Linked DNA regions of Medicago truncatula. The protein of the gene in region 2 binds, or shares a complex with, the protein of the main gene of each other region. Links are inferred from orthologs where the notes say so. Each region holds a gene or a part of one and is shown on either strand. Other genes may lie near its edges.

Region 1 (11,365 bases), about 17 Mb from region 2:
CAATAAAAGTCGGAATCTAAGAAGGCATGTGATATATAGAACTTAGAAGTTCTTCTTATTGATTTCTTGTTATTAGATTTGCTTATTTGAGTTTAACAAATGACATAAGCACGTGTTATGTTGTTTGAGAGAACTTATGAAAACAAACAGCTTTTGTCATGTTTCTAAGTTGTTTTCAACTTATTTCCATTAGCTCTCCAGAGTAATTTATTATAGATTATACAAAAACAGTTTGACTTTATTTTATTTTGTATGGTAGAAATAGCTTAATTTTAAGCGCTTATATGATAAGCTTCAAAATAAGTTGTTTATCCAAACAATGCTATATTACAGGGCTGCTAGTTGTTACTACATTGGTAGTAGTTAGTTTTGTTCATGCATGATGCATAAGCTGATCCAGAACCAAAGTAAACTTTTGGTATCATAAATTTGATCACATTTCTAAGCATCTGAAGATTTTTTTTTTTTTTGAACAAGCCAAAATGAAATATATATTACCACAAACGTAATCGTTGCAGCACAAGGCGTGCTAAACAATCATGGAAGAAAACAAAGTCCTGTCAAGAATACACAAGTTATCAATCGATGCCCATACAAACCAAAGGGCTCGACCACCAATTATGAGTACCATAGCTAAAAACAATATTACTAGCTTTTAACCACCACAAAGAAGATGATTTTACTTTGTCTAACATTTGTGGTAAAGAGCTCTGCCTGTTTCTAAAAACTCTATCGTCCGCTAATTCCATAAAACCCAAATACACTAAAGCCAAATCAAATGGAAGAACGATCGATGTGATTTCCAACTACCAGCATACTGAATAAATTGCAAAAAATGGTCTGCCATAGACTAAGAATCAACACCTTCAACCCCCAGCCACTCCCGCACCAAAGACCATAAGGCACCAAAAAATGGACAAGACAAAAACAAATGATTCACATCTTCATCATGACCACAACCGGAAACACATAACCGCCCCTCCATATGAATAATGCCATGGTTTGCCAAATTTCCCTTCGTAGGTAAGCGATCCCTCAAAAGCCGCCAAGCAAGAATAGATACTTTTAGAGGTACCTGTTTATGCCAAATTAATTCCATAGATGAATGTAACTGAGGCTGTTCCTGTGATGTCAGCATGTCATACACCCTACGGACTGAATAACCGCCTCCCTGATCCGGTAGCCACAACCATCTATCTGAAACAGATTCCTGCAAAAAAACTGTCAGTAATAAAGCCCTACACTCCTCTACTAGGTCATCCTCCCATGCCCATAACCGACGACGCCACTACCACGCCTCACCACCAACCTCCACCCCCAACAAAAACATAGTCCTAACCGTGATTACTTTGTTGACGGCCAAATCATATAGCCGTCTAAAGCGCTCACGAAACAGAACATCACCACACCGACAATCCCGCCAAAAATCAGTATCGGAACCATCCCCCACCCTCCTCCTAACACAAACCGAAAACCAACCCTCCCCACCCTCGTCTATCCCATCTCTAATCCTCACTATCTCCCTCCACCAAGAAGAACAACTCCGGCCCCCATCCTCCAAACCTCCATCCGCCACACCATACCTAGCCCTCAACACCTTACGCCATAACCCTTCCCTCTCCACTAACAAACGCCAACACCATTTTCCTAACAGGGCTAAATTAAACTCTCTCAACCTCCTTACACCCAACCCTCCATACTCCTTTTTTAGACTCAAAGAATTCCAACCAATCCAAACTATTTTTCTTTTATCCTCACTACCCCCCCCCAAAAAAAAAAAATTTAATTAACAGAGATTCAATGGAAGAGATTATACCTGACGAAACTTTGAAAAAGGAAAGTGCATAGACATGAAGAGCAGTCAGGACGGACTTGAGAAGGATTAGGCGACCACCAAAAGAGAGAAACCGACTACGACAACCAGACAGTCTAGATTTAATTCGATTAACAACAGGTTTCCAAAATAATAACCGACGAGAGTCACCCCCAATCGGAAGGCCCAAATAGAGAAACGACACTGTACCCAATTTACAACCCAACACTAAAGCCGCTTCAGTCAACCAAGAAGCATTAATATTAACCCCTATCAACGAACTTTTATGATAGTTAACTTTCAAACCTGACATAGCCTCAAACAAGACGAGAGCAGCCCTCAAAGCACGAACATTAGCCCAACTTTTCTTCCCAATAAGAAGCGTATATATCACATTTCTAACGAAAGTAAATTTTAGCCATATCATCGAAGATACATGAGAAAGAACCATATTGCTCTAAGAATCTATTATTTTTAATGAAACATTTCTTCTTTTGAATGCTTTCCACTCCCTTCCGTCCCTCTTTTGTTTGGTTTTAGAACATAGTCACATAATTCGTTATAGCGATTATTTTAGTGTAGCGGTCATCGCATTTCGGCTTCTCTTCCGTTCCTCTGTCTCAGACTCTTACCCTAAACTTTAAGGCAAAGTGTTTATGAGTCCTCTTACTTATAAAGTGTTCAACCTTTACTTTTCTATCCGATGTGAGACATCATGCTAGAACAACCCCACAAGAGAGAGACACCACACTCTTACCCAAAACCTTAAGGCAATGAGTTTATGGGTCCTCTTACTTATAAGATGTTCAACCTTTACTTTTCTATCCGATGTGGGACATATAAGTCACACTGGCACACAACAACATTTTTATGTCTGTGTAAATTATATAAGCTGTATAAAATTTCAAAATAGCGGCCATTGTGCTACATACTATTTCGCTATAGCATTTTTGGAGTCTGCCGCTATGCTTCACTATCTGGGATTAATAATGGTGGTTTACATATGAATGATGTCTATATATACCAATCGAATTTCTCTCAAGATGCTTATGAAACATATTTTACTACGTTTTAAACCAACCCCAAAATGGATGAATTTTTCTTCTGGGTTTTCTTCTTGTGAACTGTAAAGAACTTCTTAAAGTAATTAGAGGCCTATAAGGGGGAAAACATTGTACAGAAAAATATCATCTGATTAATTTGCTTGAAATTAGTTACATTATTTTTTCTTGAATATCATGAAGCTTTCTAGCACTACTAAAAAATATTTTATTTTACTATTAGTAGTATGTAATTTCATAGGAATTGAAGCCACTAAGCCACTTTATGACTTTTCTTGTGTTGAAAATCTGAGAAGGTATGAAACCAGACATGGAATAGAAACAGGTTTGCTTCCATGAATCAAGTTTCTCAGAAGATTGGAGAACTTTGATGTTACAATATTTGAAGATGTTATGAAATGTCTAACTACTTATACCAACTGCTTAACTATAGCTTTTCTCCATAATCCAAATAATACACTCATTCTCATTTTAAATTTGTGTGATAAAATAAGTTTAATTAAGGACAGTCTTGGTCCCTTTGTTCAGATTTTTGAACTGTAATTTAATATAAGCTTAATTTTCTGTCTCCCTATTTTAACCTACTCACATAAATGGTCCCTCCATTTTAAAATCACACATTTTTCATCCTTTTTTTCACTTCAGTTTTTAAACTTAAAAATGGTGATATATCATATTTTAATTGAAGTTTTAGAGTTTTATTTTTGTAACTTTGTGGTTATTAAGTATTCCACATCATCAGATTGCATGACATACAATTTAAAATATGTCACCTCACCATTTATGAGTCAAAAAAATTATGAGACTCATCACAACACACACTCGCAACTAACACCTTGAGTGTGACTCGAGTGACTTGATGAATCTAGAAAAAGACTTGAACACTATCTTAAAATTTGAATCGAGTTTGTGACAAGTGTTCATCATTTATAACCACATTTTAGGCCATATTTTTATCTAGTGATACACTCAAGAATGTTTAAGACAATAACCTTGCATGGGTAGTTTTTACTTTTCATGTAAATAACTCTCATATGATGTTCATTTTTCAGTTATTTAAAGACAGTCAAGTCAAGACACACAAGCAAGCAACAAAAGATGGAGTCATGATAAAAAAGTTTCCCTTTGTTTAAACAACAATGCCTAACAAATCTAAGTAGCTCCAAATGGTAAAAATACCCAAACTTCATCATCACCTTCAGAATAACAACAATGCTCCTAAACTTCTAACAAAAATTAATAACTATGATCATCGATCGATCAATTCGAGGGAACATGGTAGTATTTTCCTTTACAAATACATCTGTAAACCATAGGACAAGACTCTGCCATAGAACATTTGTTGTAACCTACCATGACTCTCTTGCAGGGTGAACATGGTCCACATGCATGGGAACAATCTGGTATGGTGGAACCGGTTGGATAGAGTTCCATTACATTGCTACCTTCTCTTGCTCCTTCCTACAAAATCACAAATATGTGAATCACAATTGATCATTCACTTCTTGACACAAGTGAAGTGAGTAACTATACATTATACAATGTTGAAACTAAATGTGTCAAACCTTTTTGTCTATAATTGTTGTTCTCTCTTCTTGTAAGTGCATTACCTTATCTGGAACATGAGAATAAAAACGAATGTGAAATACTCAAGGCAATAACATAGATACTTACATCATTACATGATACTAGAACACTTATGCATGAGGTAACTACGAGAAAAACAATATCAAATTCATGTGTTACTTTCAAAATTACGTAAAGGGTCATGTTAACTGGTTCCCCGGGGGCAACGGTTAAGGAAGCCAAAATATAAAATGTAAAACATGTCACGTACCATGATTTGGGATCACTCTAAGGCACCAACCAATAGAAAATACCGTGAAGAAAATAACAACTAGGAAAGATTTGTGGGCTCTAAGAGAGTAAGTGCTCATATTTGTAGGAACTACAAACTCAAGTGTAGCATAAAATCAATTTTCATTAGTAGAGAAAAAATGTAAGCTAGCTAGCAAATGTAGGGGGTACTATACTATACCATACAAAGAGGGGCCTATTAATATATGCACGAATATGCAAAGGGATATTAAATGTGCAACAAGATTCATATCTGCCATATCTCACATGATCCACGACCTTCTATTAAATACTTCACAAGTTTTGGTTTATCCGAGAAATAAATATAAAACAAAAAATTATCAGTATGGTCAGAAACTATAAATATAAATAAAGAGAACATTTAATTTGAATAATAATTCCAAACCGTTTGGATACAAATTGGAATGTGGGGTTTGATTTATCAAAGGAAAGGGAAATATTATTGTTTGAATGATGGAATTAATTTCAACATGCTGGACAAGTGAAAATGACTGACAAACCTTCTTTAACAGCGGTTGCTATCTTAATATTTAATTTGTCATAAATTCAACAAATTTCAAAATTTTGTAGAGTATTGGAGGAAATATGTTGCATGTGTCAGAGGACCATATCTAGAGCAAATCGAGTGATATTAAGGCCAACTGAAAGCTAGCAGTATCCACAGCTACATTGGTAAGCACTTTGGCTTAATTCAAATGTTAAATAGGTCAAAATTTAAGGGATTAATTTAGGTATTAGTTTTTGTTAATGACTGAAATGGACCAGAAAGAGGGAGCAAATTGGTATATATATATATATATATATATTTATAATGAGCAAATTAGTCGTTAGTCTTGTATTGATGACAAAATGATACGAATAAAAAAATTGAATAAGATTGATTACAATAAGGTTTTAAGCCCATATCTCTAATTGGTTGTATGTATAAATTTTTGGCGAATGTGTTGGCCAACAGACCGAGAAATCTAAGGTTAGATTTTTCTTTTCTTCTGTGGATGGTATTGCCATTGATAATAAGGTGTTGATGATGCCAAGAAATAAAAAAAAGAGTTCATTTTGTTCAAAGTTGACTTCAAAAAGGCCTATGACTCTAGAATTGGAGTATCTGGAAGTGGTTATGGTTAAGATAGATTTCTTGTGTATATGGTGTAAGTAGATCATGTAATGTGTGAAATCAGTGACAATTCCATTTTAGTTAATGCAGTCCCACCGACGAGTTTAAGATGGATAGAGGGTTACACCAAGACGATCTCCTTTCACCGTTTTTTTTTTCTTCTTATTGCAGCTGAAGGTTTGAATGTGATGTTAAATTCCTACGTGAATGTGGGTCTTTTTATTGGTTATGTCATTGGTGAAGATTCCAATTTTTGATTTTATCATCTTCAATTTGCTGATGATATGTTGCTTTTAGGGGAGAAAAGTTAGGAAATATCCGAGCTTTAAAGGAAAATTTAATTCTTTTTGAGCTCGTACTTGGTTCAAAAGTGAATTTTCATAAGCGCTTTCTGATAGGTGTTAATGTTGAGGAATCATGACCAGCGTGGAAGCCACTGTTGTTTTAAAATATAAAATTGAGTGGATATCATTTGTTTATTTGGGCTTACTATTGGTGGCAACCCTCACCCCTTGTCTTTTTGCCATCGTTTGTTTGACAACATTCGAAAAAGAATATATTGGTGGAAAAGTAAAAACCTATCTACGGGCGATCGACTTGCTCTTATGAAACATGTCTTGTCGTCATTACCAATTTACTTTCTTTACTTGAATCCCATTTAAAACTATTTTTATGTGGGCGGGGGGTTAGTAAGGTTGCTCGCAAAATTCACCAGATAAAATGGGATAAAGTTTGTTCTATCCTGGAGTTTGAAGGTTTTAAGGGGGTGGTTCAAAGGTGGAGAGTGGGTAATGGCAAGAATTCTTCTTTTTCGAATGATCCCTTGTTGAAAGGTGGTCCTTTACGATACAAGTTCAACCACTTTTTTTATCTTCATGTTGATAGTAATATAACAGTGGCTGAGATGAGGAAGTTAGGTTGGGGGTTGATGGAAATAAGTGGAAGTGGATGAGGAGACTATTTACTTGGGAGGAGGAGCATGTGTTGGAGGGTTACTCTTTGTTAATAATATTGTTTTTTCAGGGTAATATTGTAGATACAAGCACTAGGATATACAACCCAGCTGAAGGCTATTTGTTGAAATTTGGCTTCAAATTTGTGGTTTGGAAAAACAGAGAAATCGTGACACGATTTTGTAATGCCGTGAGCTGGTTTGCAGGGTGTCAAATCGTGGCACAATTTTGTGAAATCGTGACACGATTTTCAAACTTGCTGGTTAAGTTTTCAGGATAAGGTTGGTCGTACCTTGGGTCGTACGCATCAATCGTGGCACGATTTGGAAAACGTGGCACGATTTTATCAACTGAAGACTGCTATATAAGTGTTCTTGTGTAGATTTTGAAGAAGAGCTTGAAGAGAGAGAAACTTGGATTACAAAGGAGGTAACTTTAGGGTTGAGTGTCTTTATAGTGAGGATCTCTTGGGTTGGGAAACATTGTAAACATCTTGGGTAGTGAGATTTCACCATTGGAAGGATCAAAAGCTTCCTTTTGTGTCTTCTCTTTAGGGGTCATTATTGAGAGAGTGGGAAACACAAATGGGTAGAAATTAGATCTTGTTCTTGTGTAAGCTTGCAAGCTATTTTCTTGTAACTCTTTGTAACACTTTCATCATAGTGGATTGGAGAGCTGCTCTCTCCCCCAAATTAGGTCATATTGGACCGAACTGGGTCAACAATCTTTTGGTGTGTTTGTTTCTTCTTTCATTGCTTATCTTTGTTCTTTGTATATGCTTGTGGTGTTGCTCTACACTAGACTAGGTCTGTTTTTTTGTTATTGTTGCTTGGAGACACTTTACACATTGATTATTACTTCCTTTGCTCCACACATCTTTGTTTTTCATTGGTGTGATTATCAACCGGAACTCACAACACTATTCAGTTAAAGGAGTCTATCAGCTGTTAACACACGATGACCAACAATCTAAGGAGCCCATTACAAATAGAATTTGGGAAAAGTTTTGCTTTTCATGTTGCGACTGTTGAACAAAAGTATTTCGATAAGGAATAATTCTTATTCTTGTTGCCGTTTTTATTACATGTCTTAAGCCCCTGTTTGGATCTGCGTTTGAGAAGCACAAACGCACGATTAGCACATCAAACGTGATTTTATGGTATGAATAGGATGTTTGGCATCCAATTGAAAACGTGCTTTTTTCCCTTTAAACTTGATTCTAGATGAAGCTGCTTTATGTAGCAGTTTTGCGTCTGCTTAAATTGATTTTGCATAAAGTATATATTTGTTTCCAGCTTTACCCTTAATTGTTGGGTGGTTATAGGTAGACCACTTTATGTGGCAATCCCACCTTATACACCTCTTGTGGCACAATTTAACTTAAAATAATAAAAAATGAATTCTCTCTCTTGACTGCCTTTCCCCTTCTCTTTCTTCTCCCTCTCTCTTTACCACCACCACAGACCACAACTGACAAAAAACCGACGCCGGCGCCGGAACTAATAAAACTCATATCCTGCCGTCACCTCCGCCGACCGTGGTTCCTCCTTCCTTCACCGGCCGTGGCACCTCTTCTCCACACAAAAAAAAGGACATAAAAAATTATGCAAATTTCTCCTTTCGATTGCCAAGAAGTAGATGCTTCATCTCTTGGATGGGCTATGTCAGCAGTTTCATCTAGAGCATTCAAGTTACATGGTAACAAGCAATCGAATGGGGTAAACTTTGACATTCCCATGATGCTCCCTCTAATTGACATGTGTAATCATAGTTTCAATCCAAATGTTAGAATTGTTCAGGAACAAGAAACTGGTAGCACAAAGATGTGGGTGAAGGCATGTTATTTCATACTCTTTCCTTCATGACTCCTATCCCAGACACATACACTCACACGTCAAATTCTGAGGAATTTTCTTTTCAGAAACAACTATACTTTTGATTTTTCTTTGCTGAGGAATTCAATCTTTGCCATAGGTTGTGGCTGAGAAAGCAATCAAGGAAGACGACCCTTTATTACTTTGCTATGGATGTTTAAGCAATGATCTTTTCCTTCTTGATTATGGATAGGAGAAAACAAAGATACCCTTGGAAAACGAGCAGTATCACCAGAGATGGAAGTGCGGCGGATGATTTGAGATGAAAGGGGAAGTTTGAGAGAGGGGATGGTCTCTGAATGAATCAGAAAAACAAAATAAAAAAATGGGTAAATTTACAAAAATGTCCCTGCCACATGGGATGGTACAAGAGTGGTACAAAAAAGAGATGTCTACCAATATTTACTCTAATTGTTCTACTGTATTTTCAATGGTTGCTTGCTACAATTTCCCTTATCGGCTTCTTATTGTATTGGTGCAGAAAAAAGATGTTCCAAAATTAGTCCCATTGTGTTGCCAATATTTTATTTAATATATTACTAGCATTAAAAAAAATCAAAGATTATCAAACAAATATATATATACACTACCAAAAAAAAACAAATATATATATATATAGATATAGAGAGAGAAAAAATTTAAAACTCTATATATATTCACACAAAAAAAAAGACTGATTAGAACGATGATGGTGGTTTTTCATTTCATTATCATGCTTATATTTTACGGTGCTTATAGTTTACTGTATTTAAAAACAACTCTTGTAAATTAATATTTTAAAGTGAATTTAAATACAACAAAAAGGATAAGTTCCTTAAAAAAAAAAAAAGGATAAGTTGGTCATTATACATTTAAAATTAATTTTGATTCAAACTATTCAAACAACATCAACTCATAAGAATCACTTCTATGTGAGAGTATCCAAATATAAATCAATTCACATCCAACTCACTTTTAAGCAAAATCAATTCTCTCAAACTCAATTGTATTAAAATTAATTCTCTCCACCGCCCACCCAAACACACACTTTGTTGTCTTATGATGGATATGGAAATGAGGAACCGATCAATCATATTTTTCTGAAAATTGGTTGGTAACTGAAGGTTCTTTGGTCTACCCTTTTTTTTTTTTTTTTTGCAAAAATAAACAATATTCATTCATTCAAATTGATAGAGTACATCGATACAATACAAATCCAAATTCGATAAAAACAAAAAGGATAAATTTGTGAACAAACTCACAACATCCATGGTAATAACATAAAATGACAAAGTACCGATGCCTACAAATATGACTAATATGACTATATTCATGTCTCCGGATCTGCAACGTTGACGACGCGAAAGTTATTGTCATTGATCGGATCTGCTCTTGCTCAAAACTAATCTTTCAACCTGAATCAAATAAACACCGCACTAAGACGGGAAATAAAAAACACACCGCACAAAGAAGGGAAATCAAAAGAAACAGAGTCGTTCAGAGACGAAGAAATCACAAAAACAAACGAAAGAAAACAGAAAATATGTAAAATCACATATTCAATTAAATTATGATAGAAGGAAAAACAATTCGGATGAGTGATTTTTGGGTCAAAATTGACCCTAAATCACCCATCTGAAAGAAGAAGAAGAAGAACGAGTGTGACAGTTAGGGTTTGAGAGAGAGGAAGAATGGAGAAATTTAGAGTGACGTGATGGTGTAGTATTCTACCCTTTTATTTTTAATTTTTTTTTTATATATTCACTCTTGGTGGATATATTTGTCTGCTTGTATTGGGTTCTCCACCTTTGGTGTGTTTACCAATTTTTGGCTTTGATGGTGTGGACTTTTATGTTTGTGTGACATTGTTTTAAGTTCTTGATAGACATATCTTCGGTGTGTTTGGACGGAGAGTTTAAGAGAGAGTTTATTTTTCATTTCACTACTAAAAAAATAAAAATTAGTGAGGGAAATTTTGTGAGGGAAAACGTGAAATCCCTCTCTAATTCCGTCACTAAATTTTGTGACCATGAAATTTGTGAGGAATTTCATTTTTTCCATCACTAATTTCCCTTGCTAATTTTACTTTTTCTAGTAATGTTTTTAAATTATGAACACTATGAAATATTTTTTAAAAAGTTAATATAATAACATGATAAACGATCATGTAATATTTCAATCACATGTAATTTATTTTAGAAAAACATGTTATATAGTCAATAATTTAAAAAAGAAAAGTAAACTCCATTCTCCTCCTATTGTTAAAAAAAAAAAAACTCCATTCTCCTTCTAAACCCTCAAACACACCCTTGTGCTAAAAAGCGTTGTTTGATGAGCTGCGTAGTGTTTGATGAGCCTATGCTTTTTTGGACTTTGCTTAATATATTTTTGGCTTCTTAAAAAGTTTTGAAAAAAAGATTTATTGAAGAAATGTGGAAAATGCAATTTGACCAGAAGTCAAAGATTATGATTATAAAAAAACACAAGTCAAATAAAAACTAAAACCCGTTCATTATTCTTTTTGTTTAGGTGAAATAAGTATTCTTCTTTTAACTATTCAAAAAAAGTATTCTTCTTTTAATGGTTGTCTGTGTTATTTTTTTAATACTTGAATTATATAATACTTTTATTAAATTTTATCTATTTTTTTGAGAGGTTGACTTTTTTCTATTGTAAATAACATTCTCTACAAA
Region 2 (11,209 bases):
GAGAGAGAGTGAAGGAATCCGAGAGAGAGAGATTTTTTACGGGAGAGCTAGAGAGAGGTTTTTTACGAGAGAGAGAGAGAGAGAGAGAGAGAGAGAGAGAGAGAGAAGGAAGGGGAGAGAGAGAGAGAGAGAGAGAGGAGAGGAGAGGAAAAGAGAGAGTAAGAGAGAAGGGAGGAGAGAGATAGTAAAATTTTAAAAGAAAAAAACAATCCTAAGAAATCTCATGTTTTCATGAAAATGCTAAAATTTCACTAGAAAATCCCACAAAATCCATCAAAATCTTATTTATTAAACAATCTTTCGAAATTTGAATGATTTTGAATACCACTAGACTTTTTTTAAGTGATTAAGAGTCTCGATTGAATACCACAAGACTTTTTTTAAATGACAAAGAATCTTGATTGAATAACACAAGACTTTTTTTAAATTGGAAAGAGTTTTGATTGAATACCACAAGACTTTTTCATGATAAAAAAGTCTTTTAAAATCCCTTAGAATCATGATCCAATACACCTCTAACTAAAAAAAGATGGTAATATGTTCTTTTTCCCCTTAATTAAATTGATAAAAGAGATGCATAAAAAATTTCTTAATATTTAAAAATTTAGCTGGGTTTCATGAGATTGGGAAAATAATTAGACTTGTTTTTGTGGGTCTTGTTGAATGGCAGGTGTGAATGTATCGTATATAAATATACTAATATAAACATTAGTACAATACAATATAATTTTCCTTATTAGGTAAGGCTATGATGAGTGCATGATTGATATCAGGGTAGGAAGTGGTTGTCCTCTAAGACATGCTGAAATAAATTATGAGTTGTTTTATAATTTTTTTTAGATGGACGAAATGATAAAACCATTATAAAATCATGTGGAAGTATCGGGGTTCGAACCCCGATCATGACATCCAACCTAACAATTTCGACATTTTATCAGTTGAGATAAGATTTATGGATAGTTGTTTTATAATTATACCCAAGGATTCTGTCTTGCTTATAGTACTATATACCATTAACACTATCGATAAACCAATTATTTCATTAATATTGAAGCGATTCAAAAATGATCTTAGTTAAAATGAAGATGCTTTAAAAAATATATTACGGATTATATTATTAACGATTGCTCTAAAGAAATTGTTTAGAGAACCTTAAAAATGCAAATCAAATATCTATTAAACTTATAAATACATATTTTTCTATGTAATTAAAAACGATCTTTTATTTGGAAAGCGAGAAACGAACTCTACCATCAAATCAATTAAAGCATGGGCAAATTTCCCCATTGTCTATGCAATTTGGTGGATCTATCTCCATGCTAAGTATGTCTATGCAAATTGCATAGACTTTAAAAACTAGTCATTATATTAATATATCTTAAGAAGTACTATATCGGAGAAAAAGTTCAAATTTAGAGACTAAATTGACAATCCATCTTATCTTATTATATGAGCCCAACTTGCTTGACTCAACTTAAGCCTAGTTAAATAAGCTCTCAATCTAACAAGGATTTTGGTTTATTAATTAATATTTGATAAAAACTTCATAATTAGTGCAGCACTATCCAAATATATATCAAATTACATTAGTATATACACTTGGATAATATTACACCGTTCAATAAATTTTTATATAAGAGACAACAAGTGACTATAGCCTGGATTTCAGTCACTTTTCAAAAGATTTGCAGTATAATTGAAGATTACAAACACTTGGAGCCCCAAAAAGAAGAAAAAGGAGCATAAATTATGAATTTTTCAAGGAAGATTGAAGTTTGTTGAGAATGAATTTTTTCTAATTACAACGCAGTATGAAAATTCAAACATCAGCCGACATATCTTTCTATGCATGTGCACCCTAAATTGATAGTAATTGCAGATTTGGATTGATACATAATTGTGATGCATGGTGCAATGAAAGGGCAGCTATATCACCCATATGATACTATGATAGTGTAGATACTAGTTGCTATGCTTTGTCTTTTCTAAGAACAAAATATTCTTACAATCTATTTTTCATTAAAATCAGCATGAAAGTTCAATTTAAAAGATATTTATGGTCATTTTTTAGTGAGAAACAATACCTTATTTTTAAGAGCCAAACTATATTAAAATTAGAAATTTAATTGGCACAAGAAATGCCAAAATTAGCAGAACAACAAGAAGAATAAAAGATGCCAAAATTTAGAACAAGTAATCCCTGCACATAATTATATCATAGAGTACAACTAGTAATCATCTTATTTATGAGACATTATTGTATCTAAAACACTGATATTGCTAATAATTAACATTACAAGGTCTTTCTTAGATTCTTTTCCTATGCTATTATAATGAATATACTTTACTTACAAGAAAATTAAAGCAAAGAGTACAAAAGTAACTAGTCTCAATGACCTTGTAAGTGTAGCATCCGATGAGATTGGAACATAATCTAATAATGCAGGCTTTTCCCTGTCTGAAACATGTTGCACTGTCCTAACCGAACCTGGACTTGAACTCTCACACAAACCAATACCAAGATCAGAGTCCACACTATCTCCAAGACCACTACTTGCATCATAACAAAGCCCTGAATTGTTATTAAGCCTTAACTTTCTTTTCATCCTCCAAACCATTTCCCTTTCAAATGGAACAGGTCCAGTTAGCCCATTATCATTCAGCCTCAGTTCACTCAAGCTTCTCAAATCTCGAAAGCTTTTCGGGATCGAACCATTGAAGTGGTTCCCATCAAGGTGAAGTACGCGAAGGTTTGGTAATTTACCTAACGATTCCGGTATTGGGCCGAGCAAATTCATATTCGACATAACTAAAATCGTTAAATCTTTCATGCCGTCGAACCCATTGTTGGGTAATATTGTTGAGCCCATTGGGTTTCCTTTGAGCATCAAGGCCTGAAGAGAACTCAGGCTTTTTAGGGACTTTGGAAACGGGCCTTGAATACAGTTGAAACTCAAGTCCATAAGCATAAGGTCTTTTAGGCCCATTAGTTTATCTGGAATTGGGCCTGAGAGCCTGTTTCGACTCAAGTCCAATTTAATAAGAGATTGACATTCCCAAAGAGTAGAAGGGATTGAATCTGTTAGACGATTCTGGTTCAAGTCCAATACATTTAAGTTCAAGAAAGTCAGGTTGGGTATGGGACCAGTTAACTTGTTAACACTCAAGTCCAACGACTTTAGACCGGTTATCCGGTTCAATGAAACCGGTATGGAACCATTGAGATTGTTTTTATGAAGATCAAGGACCTTAAGACAGGTGAGATTACCCAATTCATTAGGAATTCGGCCTATATGACCATTTTCTCTTAAGACTAGAGTTTGCAATGAAGGGCCCAATCGGCCCAAGAAAGATGGTATAGGGTGAGGATTGTAACTAAAACAACGGTAAAAGAAGAGGGTTTTGAGATGAGGGAGGTTTAGGATGGAGGGTGAAATGGTGGAACTCGTGGGATCGCACGTAGGAAAAGCCGTGTCGTCTGAGAGAGCACCGAAGGAGAGGGAGACAATGTGGTACACATTGTCTTTATCGGGCATGCATTCGATGCCATGCCACCGACCACGACAAACGTCAGGGATGTCGGTGGCCCAATCGTTGCCAGTGGCTCTCATGATGTCGTAAACTGCATGTTGCTCGCGGGGATCGGTTCTTGCATTATCTTGTTTAGGTGAAATGCCATCTATTAGTGGTGTGGAACCTGAAGGCACGGTGGAGCTATTGGAATCAGAAATTTCAACCGTGTAAGGCATTACTAAATCCGACAAAAACAACAATATAGTAAAACATACTACTAGTAGTTGTTGATGTTGATTCAGATGTAGAGTAAAGAGACAATTGCTACCAGTCATATTTTTTTTTGAATTTTTAAGTGTGTTGTGTTGTGTGTGTGATTTGATCATGTGACAATATTATTAGTATTTATAGAGGGTGTTGTAATAAATGAATGGGGTGAGAGAGTTGGTGTTGTGCATTGGGTTGGAGTAACTGTGTTCACGAGAAATGATGGAATAGTCATAAATGTAAATGAGGCAGAATTTGCACATTAATGTGTTTCACGGGATTTACACTTTCAAAGGTTAATTGGGTGAAGACAAGACAACGGCTCTTGTACTAGTTGCAGTAATAAGCAGATAAGCTAGTTTGATAGGAGATGTTCTTTTGCAGAAGATAGTAGATAAATTAATAATGAATTGTAGATATATTAGTTAATTGAATTTAAAGTGTTTGGTAAATATGATGAATGAATTGATGAAAGAAAATAATGTGAAAACAAGAGGAAAATAAAATAAATTAATGTTGTTTTATGTTGATAAATTCTCTTATCTAAATTATTGTTTATTAGTATTACTAATGATGAATAGATGTTGTTATGTGTTGTTAAATTCTTTTATAGAATTATATGTTTATTATTATTGAATGTGAAATCTCACCTCTTCTGTTTGAATGTTGCCTCTACGTGGGTAACGTGCAGATAACCAGAATTAGCTGTTGATGTGAGTTGATTCTCTCACACGTCGTCTTAGGGTCGCTCTGATATGTAACGGGATGAGAATATTTGTATTATTTTCCATTTGTTACGTATTATTATGAATTATGTTGATGAACCATTTGAAATGGAATTTTTAAGAAGTTATTTATGTTGAGGCCGTAGTGTCATTTTGTTGAATAATGAAATGTTTTTTCGCTGAGATGTAATTTGAAAATTATTGATAAAAGATGTTTAAATAAATAGTAATTTTATTCTATTGATCTTTTAAAGAAGTATAACATCCTGTTTAAGTTGAATACTCTGATTATTATGTATTATTTTGCATGTTGGAAAAACAGGATGTTACATGTAGAAAATTCATGAAAGCCTTTTACTGATTTTATTCCTTTCTAGGTTTCATGGGCCATGTGCAATTTATCTTGATTGCCTTGCATTTGAATCCTTTTAAAGAATCTTAATTCCTATGATCATTTATTCATTCTTTTGATGAAATAAAGAGAATAAAATTTATTCTTGATCTTAATTAGACTATTATTTTTCCCACCCTATACCTTTCCTCGCACGCCCAATTTTTTTTTCTTTCCAATTTACCCCTCGTTCAGATTTCGTATTCCGGAAAGCATTGTTCGAATTTTGCAGATGTTTCCGGATTTGAAAATCCAGAATAATATTTTACCAGAAGTTCTGCAATTTTAAGCTTTACAATTCGTAAAATAAAATGCGAATAAAATAAAAAACAGAAATAAAAAGACACAAACATAAAAACAACTCATTTTATTAATATATGAACAATACATTACAATAATTTTCAACCTTTTCAAGCTTATTACATAAGATCCTAAATCTATTTCTAATCTCCTATGAGACTAATTCTAAGAGCCTCACCACTGGTATGTGACGAGACATACCAGTAGTTTGCCTATTGGAGGAAAACCGGAGGAGGGAAGAAAAAACAATGCCCTTGAGGGAGATGGGAGGGGGGGGGGGGGCTGCTCAAACTTACGCCCAGACAGGCCAAGCTAAGAACCACACTGACCCACATGACCCTCAGATGAACTGCAATTTGCTGCAGCGCGGTTCCATCCTCATTGACCGTTCATACAAACCCTGAAAGTTTTCAACGAGGCCCTTATCTATGAAAGACCAACGATGGAAAACCATGGTTGTAGAAGGAAGAAGACGAGGAGAGGGTGGGAGAGGATGATGTGAGAAATGGTGGGGTTTGGAAGACTATTTATAGGGAGGGGTGTGTCAAAAACGGTTGGGAGGCCATAAATGCAGTCAAAAAACGCGTTTTACCACGTTTTTTTTCACTTGACCACCGACAAAAACGTGTGGTGCAGACCACCGGCTATGACAGATGCATTTCGGATTAATGCGATAATGGTGGTGAACGAGGAAAAGGTTGGCACTTCCTGTAGGGCTAAGGACATTCCGAAATATAAAATCCGGAAAGATTCAGAGCCATTAATGTGGGTTTGGACGGTTACAACCACTAACACGTTTTCATTGACTGTATTAATGACCTAGGACTTGTTTTAGGCTATAAATAAGCTTCCATCTTCAAGATATACCTTCATTATTCACATCACCTCTTTTCTTACATTTTCTTCAAATGTTTTTTAGTTTTTTAGGGGTGTCGATGGTGTCATGATCATTGTTGACCGTTCATAGGAGCCCTGCAATTGCAATGCATTGCAGCTTGTGTGGGGTTCATATAACGGTCAACAGAGACCCTTGATATCAAAGAAAGACACAGAAAATTACATAATATCTTGTTGACTTTTTGTAATTTGAAAATATACGATGAAGCTTTTGAAACTATTACCGGGATGAGTCACGACCAGGTCGCTCTCTTTAAGACGTTTCGCGGCACTACCTGAATTGTGCAAGGTAGACTAGCAACCGCGCCGTCTCCAGGATAAAACAGCCCAGATTCTTACTGTACGATTAAAGGCTGCACTGCCAGAAATCGCTCGAGAATGACACCTCGATATGGTACTTAGACCACTCTTCCGAAACCCACAATATGGTTCTTAGACCACTCTTCCGAATCCCACAATATGGTTCTTAGACCACTCTTCCGAAGCCCACAATTTTCCGAAGCCCACAGAAAGAGGAGGAGGAAAAGAACGATTCGTCAACACAAATCGCGGGAGATGAGAAGGGGAGAAGAGTATTCGATTCTCAGTTTTGGAGTGAAGAATACTATTCCCGAGCTCTCAATTTATAAGGAGGATTTCTACTAGAGTGTGTGATCTACCCGATGTGGGACATAAAATTTTCAATTCACACTTTACACTAATTTCTCCATCCTTATGTTTACATGCCAAAGGCTCCACAAACTCACTAGTATACTCCAAGTTTTTTCATTATACACTAGTGTTCCAACAATCCCCCACTTGAATTCAAAATTGGTTTCGAAAGTTACGTTTTAAACGTTTCCTAAAGATTGCTAGTAAACAAAGGTGTCGCCAACAACTTGAACCTTTGCATAGTGAGTAGTATTCTGATTAACAAGAGTTGCTTACAACATTGAACTCTATCTCAGACATAGGACCCACACACAACCTTTTCTTAGGTGTTTTCTAAAAAGCCCGTGCGTTAATGGCCTTGCACGTCTATCCCAGTTTTAACGAATGCTCTAGGAATTCTGCCTCGAAATTCCATAAGAACCGGCCTCAGTTCTACATACGTATAGGTGAGTCTATCAGAAGTACTCCTGTAGCTATGTACTTCACTCCATAAGAAGTATAGATCTCATTAAGAGTTTCTATTATCTCAACCTTCGGTCACTGCAGGATCATGCGTTCTCATAGCATGTTCTATCACTTGTGATTTGTTATTACCCATTGAACCTAGTTCTTGGGATCTCCAGTCATTTAGGTCGGGTTTCCATCACTTATGATCAATAGGCATTAGTCCCATCCTACTGGATGTATTTGCGACTTTCTCTCTGTTTAGTCCTTTCGTCAAAGGATCAGCTAAGTTTTCATTTGTTCGTACGAAATCTACTCTTACCGTTCCGTTCGAAAGATATTCTCTTATCGTGCTGTGTTTTCGTCTTATCTGTCGTCTCTTACCATTGTAATAACGATTCTCAATCTTTGCGATAGCCGCGGTACTATCACAATGAATTAACACAGCTGGTAACGGTCTCTCCCACAAAGGGATTTCAGATAGCAAGCATCTTAGCCAACTTGCTTCTTCACTAGCAGCAGCTAGTGCTATCATCTCAGATTCCATTGTGGACTGAGCCAGAATGGTCTGTTTCTTGGATTTCCAGGAAACAGCTCCTCCAGCAATGCTAAATATATAGCCACTGGTCGCTTTGGAATCATCTGATAAGGTGTTCCAATCTGCGTCACTGTATCCTTCAAGCACTGCAGGATATCTCTGATAATGCAGTCCTAGAGTCATGGTCTTCTTCAAGTATCTCATGACTCTTTCGATAGCTTGCCAATGCTCCATGCTTGGCCTGCTCGTAAACTTGCATAATAGTCCCACGGCGTAGCCGATGTCGGGTCTAGTACAATCAGTGGCATATCTGAGACTGCCAATGATGCTCGCATATTCAGTTTGTCTAACACTATCTCCAGTGTTCTTAAATAGCTTCACACTTGGGTCACAAGGTGTGCTCGCAGGTTTACAATCGAAGTAATTATATTTCCTTAAGATCTTCTCAACGTAGTGAGATTGATTCAAGGAAATTCCATTATCAGTTCTAGTAATCTTGATTCCAAGAATTACATCTGCCTTTCCTAGGTCTTTCATATCAAAGTTGTGGCACAACAATGATTTCACATCTTTAATGGTATTGAGGTTTGAACCAAATATGAGTAAGTCGTCTACGTATAGACATATGATCGTGCAAGTGTTATTTTCGTACTTGGAATAAATACACTTGTCGCTTTCATTCACCTTAAACTCATTCTCAATCATAAGATTGTCGAATTTCTCATGCCATTGTTTCGGTGCTTGTTTTAGACCATACAAAGATTTGTCTAACTTACAAACTTTGTTCTCTTGTCCATGGATTACGAAACCTTCAGGTTGGTCCATGTAGATTTCTTCTTCTAATTCACCGTTTAAAAAAACAGTTTTTACATCCATTTGGTGTACTATCAAATTGTGGATAGCCGCCAATGAGATTAGTACCCTAATGGAAGTGATTCTAGTTACAGGTGAATATGTGTCAAAGAAATCTACATTTTCTCTTTGTCTAAAACCTTTGGCTACAAGGCGTGCCTTATATTTGTCGATTGACCCATCAGGTTTTAGTTTCTTTTTCAAAATCCACTTACAACCTATAGTCTTACATCCAGGAGGCAAGTCAGTTAGGTGCCAAGTTTCGTTGGACATTAGAGAATCCATTTCATCATTTATAGCTTCTTGCCATAAATCAGCGTCAATTGAAGACAGAGCTTCCTTGATGCTTGATGGATCCTCCTCTATTGTATATGCCACATATTCGGGGCCATATTCTTTAGCAATTCTTGCTCTCTTACCTCTACGAGGTTCTATAACATCTCTTTCGATGTTTTCATTGCTTGTTATGATTTCAGAAGGTTGATCAAGAACTGAGTTATCGGTGCCCCCACTATTACCCCCACTGTCTCCTGACTTAAAGGGAAATTTATTTTCATAGAAGTCAACATCATTTGATTCTATGATCGTTTTAGATTTCAGGTCGTAAAACCTATAGGCTTTACTATTTAAGGCATACCCAATGAATGCACATTCATAGGCTCTACTTGCTAGTTTGACTCTTTTGGGGTCTGGTTTTCTTACATAGGCTAGACAGCCCCATGTTCTAAAATAAGACAAGTTTGGTTGTCTTTTCTTCAAAATTTCATATGGAGAAATTTTGTTCTTTGTTTTGGGTACTCTGTTTAGCACATAGCAAACAGTCAATAAAATTTCTCCCCACCAATGAGGCGCTGCTCCGGAATTAAGCATTGTTGCAACTACTAATTCGGTAAACGTTCTATTTTTTCTTTCCGCTTTACCGTTCATTTCAGGAGAATAAGGAGCAGTTGTTTCATGAATAATTCCGAGTTCTTTATAATACTCATTGAATATATGTGATCCATATTCAGTACCTCTGTCACTTCTAAAACGCTTGATTCTAATATTGAATTGATTTTCAATTTCTTTAACATACTGTTTAAATATATCAAGCGCTTCATTTTTATTTCTCATTAAATACACATGTGTGTAATCCGAGCAGTCATCTATAAAAGTGATGAAATATCTTTTTCCATTTCTAGTCAAGTTTCCATCTAATTCGCATAAATCAGAATGAATTAATTCAAAAGGTTCAGTTATCCTGGTTACTGATTTATGTGATTCTTTATTTATTTTTGCTTGACTACAAAATTGACATTTTTCAAAATCGTTTAAAGATATTTTAGGAATTAATCCTAAACCGCTCATATTTGAAATAATTCTTTTGTTAACGTGACAGAGTCTAGAATGCCAAATATTAAAATCACACAACATATAAGCAGAAGAAGAAATTTTATTCATATCAATGTTCAACTTAAACATGCCATCAGTGGCGTACCCTTTCCCAACAAAAATACCATTCTTAGTGATGGTGTACAAATCAGCCCCTATGCTTTGAGTAAACCCAGCCTTATTTAAAAGAAAACCTGAAACTAAATTCTTCCTAATCTTAGGAGTGTGCAGCACATCCTTCAATATCAGAGTCTTTCCAGAGGTGAACTTCAGCTCTATATCTCCGATTCCAACAACATCAGTGGAGTGGGAGTCTCCCAACAACACCTTCTGATCATCACAAACAGTATATGTTTTGAACATATCTCTATCATAGCAGACATGGCAAGAAGCACCAGTGTCCACCCACCAGCCATCAGAACCTGCAATCATATTGATCTCAGTAATCATAGCCACATAGGGCTCATCAGGTGCAGCATCAGTAGCCATGTGAGCCTGTGCTGGTCGGTTGGTTCTGTTTCTGCACTTGCGTGCCATATGACCTGCTTGCCCACAATTGTAACAGTTGAAAGGTGGAGCAGCATCATTCTTTGGTGGCTGTTGAATTTGGGGTCTTGAATTGTTCCCAGTCTTATTCCTATTGGAATTCTTATTCATAGGGCGGTTCTGATTCTTAAATGGTTTGCCAGCAGGCTTCAGAACAGCACCTACAAATTTCTTTTTAGTGTTGTTGTTAGAAACAGCAAACACCTCTTCATTCTGATCCTGCTTTCTCGCTTCTTCTTCAATACGAAGGCGAGTGATCAGACTTTCAAGAGAGAACTCCTTAGTTTTATGTCTAAGAAGACTCTTGAAGTCCTTCCAGGCAGGAGGCAGCTTATCAATAATCACAGCTATTTGGAATTGTTCGGGAAGTGCCATCTCTTCAGCTATGATCTCGTGAGCAATTTGTTGCAGCTCATGTGATTGTGCCTCAACGGACTTATCATCACTCATTTTGAAATTCAGATAGCGGCTTACGGCGTATTTCTTAACACCAGCCTCTTCAGTATCATACTTCTTCTGAAGTGCTTCCCATAGTTGTTTAGCAGTATCACAGAGTCTATAATAATCATATAGAGGGTCTGTGAGTCTATTAAGAATATAATTCTTACAGAGGTAGTCATTTTCCTTCCATAGAGCTATATCTATGGCTAGCTGTTTATCTGGGTCAGCTTTCTCAGGTTCAGCTTTCTCAGCAGCAGTAAGGTCTGCCGCCTT

Evidence for each region.
Region 1: the proteins of protein TOO MANY MOUTHS (region 2) and protein EPIDERMAL PATTERNING FACTOR 2 are in contact, whole or in part, in a crystal structure (PDB 5XKJ), measured with the Arabidopsis thaliana proteins. The link is inferred for Medicago truncatula from reciprocal best matches to the Arabidopsis thaliana genes TMM and EPF2. Residues at the interface, in NP_178125.1 of Arabidopsis thaliana: Trp73, Ile77, Pro78, Arg82, Gly83, Arg84, Trp85, His86, Gly87, Ile88, Glu89, Met91, Val101, Asp110, Asp111, Thr112, Ala113, Lys135; in NP_564442.1 of Arabidopsis thaliana: Asp75, Tyr78, Ala79, Gly81, Ile104, Arg106, Arg112, Tyr113, Tyr114, His115, Val116, Pro117, Ser118, Arg119.

The regions. Positions count from the first base shown.
Region 1 is NC_053043.1:34,359,652-34,371,016, forward strand, and holds protein EPIDERMAL PATTERNING FACTOR 2, read right to left. Parts: upstream 4,916-11,365; 5' UTR 4,812-4,915; coding exon 4,712-4,811; intron 4,490-4,711; coding exon 4,440-4,489; intron 4,336-4,439; coding exon 4,135-4,335; 3' UTR 3,982-4,134; downstream 1-3,981. Other genes in the region: uncharacterized protein, read left to right, coding at 8,424-8,654, 8,794-8,886. UniProt on the Arabidopsis thaliana protein: Controls stomatal patterning. Regulates the number of cells that enter, and remain in, the stomatal lineage by inhibiting protodermal cells from adopting the meristemoid mother cell (MMC) fate in a non-cell-autonomous manner.
Region 2 is NC_053043.1:51,015,094-51,026,302, reverse strand, and holds protein TOO MANY MOUTHS, read right to left. Parts: upstream 3,879-11,209; 5' UTR 3,849-3,878; coding exon 2,349-3,848; 3' UTR 2,184-2,348; downstream 1-2,183. UniProt on the Arabidopsis thaliana protein: Promotes cell fate progression in stomatal development. In leaves, needed to correctly orient spacing divisions, to limit the number of asymmetric divisions in neighbor cells, and to promote the asymmetric (amplifying) divisions of meristemoids.